Linked DNA regions of Xenopus tropicalis. The protein of the gene in region 2 interacts with the protein of the main gene of each other region in a biochemical or structural test. Links are inferred from orthologs where the notes say so. Each region holds a gene or a part of one and is shown on either strand. Other genes may lie near its edges.

Region 1 (4,568 bases), about 25 Mb from region 2:
AAGAACTATATTAAAATTTGCAGAGGACACCTTGGCATCCCCACAGATATGCTCACCGTCTCTTGGGCATTGCAGATATCCCTTATATGTACGCCCACACCAGACTTACCTACAACTATTTTACTATGCTAAAAAGGCCGTTTTTTGCACTGGCAGCAGACATCTGCATTGATGACACCTTACCATATCAGAAACGAACATATATTGCCAGAGACTGCCCCAATAAATTTCATGCCATCTGGGTTGCTTGGTAAATGCTCTAGCTCTACTAATTAACTTAATGCCTGCATACACTGTGGTACTAATGCTATTTACTTGCCACACCTTTTCTTACCTTCCTGCTTTCTTTCTTTTCCGTTTCTCAAACTATTGCGTAAAAGTTTGGGAAAATAATAACTTTTAAAAAAAGGGACCTATGTGTTGCTGTAGGCATAGTAAGGCCCAATGGTGTGGGTGGCAGTACACTTTCATATAAGTTAAACCAAGTGCAGAAATAACATAAGAGGAGATGAGGACAAAGGCAGTTAATTGTTTTTGCACTTGATTTACTAGTTATGAAGGAGTTGTTACCTGTGGTGCAACTTGTGGCCAATGGGTCCGCCTGCCACTCACACAAATGAGTGTTATTCTCCCTTTTAACTATTATTGATATTGGTACAGATAAAAGCTCTGTTTACCTCTCTTGAATATGACTGGCAATGACAGCAAGCTTGTTATTACGGCCCATAAATAGATGGGAATTCCCCATCACTATTACTGCATCAATGCATTTTGGAAGTGTTACCTGCCGAAAATAAAACATAAAAATGGTTATAACAAGCCTGCATATTAGCATATTTTTAAACACAGTTACATTGGGCTAACATGCCTGACAATTACATAATAAGCTGGATGTAATTTAAAGGCAACACAGAAGGAACTGATAGGATTGGATACAGAGAAATAGAATTGTATGTGATTGCCAAGCAATTAGACTGAGATGAATGGTCATGTGATTGTTGTTATGATACTGATCTGAAGCTGCTGCAACACTGCAAGACATTTGCAGTTGAATAGTCTGCTGTACATGGAGTACTTAACAACCAAATAAATTATTTTTTAGTGTGTGGGTAGTAAGCTCAACTTTTAACAGGACGGCTAACCTACCAGGACCACTTGTAAAATGCAATGTGTCTGGTTCATAAATGACTTTTTCTTTACCTCTGAATGATTAAGTGCCTGCTGACCCCACCAAATAGGATTCACATCAACAACAACAACCAAAAGATTCACGTCATCATCTGCAGGAAAGAAGGAATTTTTGAAATGCCTATTCTAGCAATAGGATGGGTGTCAGTTCTCTATTATCTTTAAAAATTCTACAAAGCATTTATATGCATTATGGTAAATCACTACCATCAACTGAATAATATATGCCTTTACAAATTCCTTTCAAATGTGTAACTATATTGAAGTTTAACAGTTCTCAAGAAACTTATTCCCTGCAGTCTGCACTTGACGCTGCTGGTTCATTCAATATATTTTTCTACCAAACTGGAATCTTTTAGGGCTGGTATCTACTAAAAGTTGGCAAGACCCATGATTCAGCATGGGATTCTATTGTATGAGAGCAACAGAGTTAGTTGGAACCATTGTGGGAAGCAGCTAACATTGATAAAGCACAGATGCCTATAGACTAGAAGTTATACAGGTAAATCTTTAATGTTATAAGCTATATAACATATGATAGTATAATTTACAGTAGCATATTCATTTAAGATGCCAGCATTATTAGCATGTAATAACATTTTTATACATATAGTGCAAACACACTTTATTATCATTTATCCTGCAAAATTCACAATTCAGGGTACAGCTACAATGGAGACATCTGTGGACCTACAATACAGGCAATATCTTAATGGCAGTTAGGGTTGGGAAGGCAATTTTACACAATGCTGGGGCAACACAAGATTTAAATAAATCCATGAGAAGGGGTAAGTGAAATGTCCGCTTGGTACAGGCAAATTTGCCTGTGTTCCATTTTAGGTTATAACATTTATCATTTTCATGCACATACTTTTATGCAGTGCGGCATTTGACATTTACTGAATAAGGTCCGTCACACTGGATGATGGCATTACCCTATATTTGGCAATCATATAGGAGTAGCACTGTATGTTGGCAAAGGTTTGTCATCTGCTATGCTACACAGACTTGTTTCAGAGAATAAGGAGTTGTTTGCGGCAGATTATTAACTGATTGCTCAGTTAATAAAAACTAGTGGGGGATCCAGTGGGGAACTGATTGATGTAGAAATAAAAATTGAACTAGGTTTCTAAAGTGTTTATAAAAAAGGCTGTAAAAGATGTTGTATTAGGGACCAGTACCCACTTGTTATGCCACTGGCCTAGACTGGCAATATGGATATTCTGGCAAATGCCAGTGGGGCAGCTGTTAGGTGCTATAGACTTGTGCTTTATTTTGGGCCAGTGGGTCTGCCTAGGCCACCAGTCCACCTGCATTAAATAGCTTATAATAAGTTGATATATGAATTGCATGCAGTTTCCAAATGATTCCTGAATGTGTCACTGAGCTGTAGGTCCGTTGTGCGCCTGTCAGCATGGGACATTTCCATAGCTACCCTGTAAGTAGTATTCTGTACTAACCGGAAGTGGCAATGGTATTATGGTGCGTATTTCTGGGTTTATATAGCGCAGGGCTTTATTATCATCCTGCACTTTTCACAATGCGCCCAAGCTCTGAATTGTTCTGAAGAACCCCAACACCAAGCATAGCCTGGCAGCCTCTCAGGCGGCACCCCCACACCGCACAGCCGCATTCATAAAATCCACAACACCCAGGTAACTCACCAGAAGCCATAGCAACTCTTCTTCTCAGAATGAAACAGCCATTGCACTGTCGCACTCCAATGACGTCGTCCGCGTAAGGGCGTCTTCTGTCAGCTCGCCATGCCGAGATTAACTCTGTCCTTGCCAGATGATAGCAGGCCGGCGTGGAGAAGCTTTTGGGTTGTAGGGTAGTAGCGACTTTTTCTTTCAGAGAACGCAGGCGGAACCATGAATGAAGAAGGTGAGGACTGGGGTCCGGGGTCCCGCAGCATATACACAAGCCGAGCGCCCCAGCAGTCAGGCTCACGGAGCGGGGGGTCAGGCCATGCTATATGGAATTCAGCGATAAAGTTATCTCCAAGCTGTGGGCTTCCAGCTGCCATTGGGATCTACCAACCTGCTGGTAAAAGCTCCACCGATGCAGGGTGGACACGCTACAGATACATTGCCGAAATATATCAAATATATAATATATGGCCCAATTACCAATGGAAGCAGCTGGCATGGTATAACAGTCTCTGTTGTGAAGGAGCCCTCATATTGTCAGCTCTTATGTTAACCCTATTGTCCCTGTGACATTATCATATCCCACAGCTACAGACAATGTTGCTTTATAAATAAACTATTACATGATATGGGCCATTCTCACTTAGTGCAGTATTTACTGCTGGTTCCCTGGCCCTGGCTTGGGTATATGGGATAATATAGAAAACAGCAGTAGAAATAAAGGGAAAGTGATGGAAGAGCAGTCGGAGCAAGGTTACATTCATTGGAATTTTGACTGTAGAGCCTCTTAAACAAACATGCAGGGAAGCTGTATAGTGTGAATATTTGCTTTTTATGTTTCAATTTTTTACCTCATAAGTCTAGATAGTATAGATATAGTATAGTATCGTAATATAGATACACATTAAGAGGAAAGAGTAGGGAACTCACACAGACGCCTACTATTACCCCAAATTGCTTCCTCAGTGCCTGGTTAAAACTCAAATATTAAAAGAGACTAAAAGGTTTGTAAAAAAAATGCCTGACATGCATTTAGCCAGAGATTTATTAAAGGCGAAACGCGCGTCAGGCAGTTTTCTAAAATCTCTTGAATATTGGGAGTGTGTAATAATTGGAATTTTGTCAAATTTGCACAAGACTTCTATAGGGTGTTTGTTCTTGTATCTTGTTGTAGTTCAACTACTAGTTCCTAGTTAGGTATTTGGGCCTTGGAAATTGGAATCATTTAAGTTTTCCTCTTCTGTAATATTGATATAAAGACAACTTTAATCACAGCACTTGTCACTTTAATCAAATTGGGGGACTGTAATAAGAAATACTATTGCATTAATATAACAAAAAGCACTAGTATTTTGTTTAGAAAAGTAAATTGAATAGACCTTGAAAGGTTGTCTTCTCTTTCTTCTTAATTTGTTATAGTTCGACTACACCCTCGCAAGGTAATCTGGTTCTTGGAATTTAAATAGATAATTCTGAGTAGGTAAAAACTTTTTACCTTATCAAAATATAGATACAGTAATTACATAGGGTAAGTTCATGGCATTTTACCTTTATAGAGCAGTGATCCCCAACCAGTGACTTGTGAAAATGTTGCTCCCCAACCCCTTGAATGTTGCTCTCAGTGCCCCCAAACCAGGTTTTTTTTCTTCAATTCCTGACTTGGGGGCAAGTTTTGGTTGAATAAAAACAAGATTTACTACCAGATAAAGCCCCTGTAAGCTGACAGTGTGC
Region 2 (2,932 bases):
AAGCAATGCCATGGCCAGATAACAGAACTCAGCATGAATGAGTGCATGCCTAGCAACCAAGTTGGATCATCTGAATTGGCTGCATCCATGCTGCGTTCTACATGGGAACAGGCATGGGGTTCAAATCGGAGTCTGAAATGTGATAGGAGTACAGTTGTTTCTCAACAAAAAGAGACCCTCAAAAAAACAAAAACTATTTTCTTGCCAACTCTGGCTGTTACTTTGTTTTATCCCTTACGATAAAATGTATTTATAGTACAGCTATTTTATAGTAATATATATATATATATATATATATATATATATATAGTAATATATGGACACACAAGTGGTATGTGAAAAAAAGATATTTTGTTGTTTTTATATTTTAGAGTGCTGCTGGTCCTTACCAAACATATGTATTTTCTTTTTTGACCACTACAGAGCGTTTGGACACTAGAAATTTTTTTTTTTTATGTGAGCAAATGCTGCAACTTTACATACCTGGGATGCTGTGCATCGTGCACATGGATTAAAGGTAAATAAGCCTTGCAAAAGTTCAAGAAGATCATCACCAGCTGCAATAAAAATATGGTGGAGCGGTGTCCCTGGAAAACTTTTAAAGGCAACGTAGTCTGGAAGGCTGGACATGCCCTGTACAATTTTAAAAAAATAGATATATTAAATATCATATATAAAAAAACAGATAAAGCATATATATTATTAAACAGACACTATTCCTATATATGAGCTCTACCTTTTCCCCTTATTTTGTCTTTTTTATCTTTCCTTTATAATCTTATGATTTTGTGCTGTGTTTTTTTTAACCCACTTTCTCCTGTTTCCTTTGTGAAGAAGTTTGTATAAAAAAAATGCAGGCTGGAGAAAGTGCTCCTAGAGAATAGCAATAGGAAGGGCCAGCTTCACTGTCATTTTTCAAGCATTTTAGCAGAAACCATTCTCTGCTGTTACAGCTCTTGTTTCCACCATGTGGCAGAATGCAGAATCTATACATAGTGTAAAAAGCAGAAGCGATTATTTCCCTTCAACTGTGAGTTTACATACCGGCCATTGCTCTTCTGTTGGTGTTCCCAAAGTTTCAAATATTCTTGTAAGTTGGTCTAGATCAGAGTCCCCAGGCAAAAAGGGCACCTTTTAAAATACATTACAGAAATTAAACCTTAGTTACTATGGTGATCTGATTTGTAGTTCCACAGGTAAAAGGTTCATGATTAGGACAACCATGGCAAAAAAAAAAAAAAAAAAGTGTCTGTAACTCACCCGAAGTAGCAGCTCTGCTAAGATGCAGCCAACTGCCCACATGTCTACTCCCACACCGTACATTCTAGCACCAAACAGCAACTCAGGAGATCGGTACCACCTATAAAACACAAGCTTATGGTCACTGTCTCTTAACCTAATTAAAAACATCAACACTAATTTTCAGACAGTTTTAGAAAGTTTACATTAAGCTTCAAAAATTCAAATACAATGAATGGGGTAACTACATCTTCCTCACCAACTCCAATACCAATTTAAAGGAGAGGGAGGGGCTAAGTCACTTGGGGGTGCCAAAATGTTAGGCACCCCCAAGTAACGTTAATCGATTACCTTTTACCCCGGGCTGGTGCCCCTGTTAGGAGAAAACTGCACCAGCTCGGGGCACCTGCAGCGAGTGTTTCCTCTTCCTGGTTGCGACTTTAACAAAAAAGTCAGCTTTTCACTCTACTGCACATGCGCCGGCCCAGGGATTTTGCTGGCAGCAGGAAGAAAGAAATCGCTCGCTGCAGGTACGCCGGGCTGGTGTGGTTTGCTCCTAACAGGGGCACCAGCCCGGGGTAAAAGGTAAGCGATTAAAGTCACTTGGGGGTGCCTAACATTACATGTGCGCAAAGATACTTATTCACTGTAAAGTTCATCAAGAATGCAGGCTTATTGAGGCAGAACTTACTTTAACAAAAGTCCTGCTTGGATTGAGCACTAATTGGTTAAGCAGAGCTCAGGACAGAACACCCCAGCAGAGTACACAAATAGAGCAGAGTTTCTATAGAAACCAGCACTGCCATCTCTTGACTGGTTGAATATAACTGAGCATGCTCAGAAGCCAAAAGCCAAAGTCACTTCCTAAGGGGAGGGCCAAGCAGGGTAGAGGAGAAGTTATCCTAAGTGATTAAGGGATGCAGCCTTACTATTAACCTTTCAACACTGGCAGGCATTTAGATATTTTAAATTAGGCTGTTCACGGATTACATTTTTTAGGGGGGGGGGTTACATGTCCTTTGACTAGAGAGAGTGCTACATTATTGCGTACAGGGTTCAGTATCTGGGATGAGTATACATTTGTCTCCTATGTAAAAACAACCAATAAACAAAAACTGAAAAAACAAAAATAACCCCCATAAGCATTCCCCATTCACCTGCATTAACATATAAAGTAGTTGTGCCTACAATACTCTGCAGCCCACTCCGGGGTATAGAAAAACTCTACCTTGTTACTACTTGATGAGTATATATTCTGTTTGGACTCCCAAATGACTTTGCAAGACCAAAATCAGCAAGTTTAAGGACCCCATTTTCATCCAGCAGCAAATTATTTGGCTTCAAGTCCTATAAAAATAAACACATTATTATACATAACCATATACTGTAAAAGAGACCTTCTGTGGGATACAGCGTGTGACAGACTGCCTCATCTCTTAGTGAGACCCTCTTCCAGGACAAAAAATGGAATTTTGCCCATAAAACATATAAAAAGTGCCTCCTAGTGTAGCTCTCATATCCAAGAGCCAAACTAGAGTACAAGAACTCAAAGGAACACATGTCACTTCTATAAGAGCATGTGCCACCATATCACAATATTTAGGTTTGAATGAGAATGTTCTACAAATTTTCATAGCTACAAAATATCTGAATTAAGGGAAGAGCAGAGTTTTTATAACTTGCAATATTCCAA

The links.
Region 1: the proteins of cdk7 (region 2) and gtf2h3 form a complex in vitro, tested with the Homo sapiens proteins (2 studies listed by BioGRID). The link is inferred for Xenopus tropicalis from reciprocal best matches to the Homo sapiens genes CDK7 and GTF2H3.

What each region holds. Positions count from the first base shown.
Region 1 is NC_030677.2:160,973,161-160,977,728, forward strand, and holds the start of gtf2h3 (general transcription factor IIH subunit 3), read right to left. Parts: upstream 2,908-4,568; 5' UTR 2,863-2,907; coding exon of another isoform or gene 2,853-2,862; intron 1,281-2,852; coding exon of another isoform or gene 1,201-1,280; intron 785-1,200; coding exon of another isoform or gene 678-784; 5' UTR 571-677; intron 1-570. Other genes in the region: eif2b1 (translation initiation factor eIF-2B subunit alpha), read left to right, coding at 3,060-3,234. UniProt on the Homo sapiens protein: Component of the general transcription and DNA repair factor IIH (TFIIH) core complex, which is involved in general and transcription-coupled nucleotide excision repair (NER) of damaged DNA and, when complexed to CAK, in RNA transcription by RNA polymerase II.
Region 2 is NC_030677.2:186,223,583-186,226,514, forward strand, and holds part of cdk7 (cyclin-dependent kinase 7), read right to left. Parts: intron 2,587-2,932; coding exon 2,468-2,586; intron 1,361-2,467; coding exon 1,261-1,360; intron 1,132-1,260; coding exon 1,045-1,131; intron 634-1,044; coding exon 484-633; intron 1-483. UniProt on the Homo sapiens protein: Serine/threonine kinase involved in cell cycle control and in RNA polymerase II-mediated RNA transcription. Cyclin-dependent kinases (CDKs) are activated by the binding to a cyclin and mediate the progression through the cell cycle.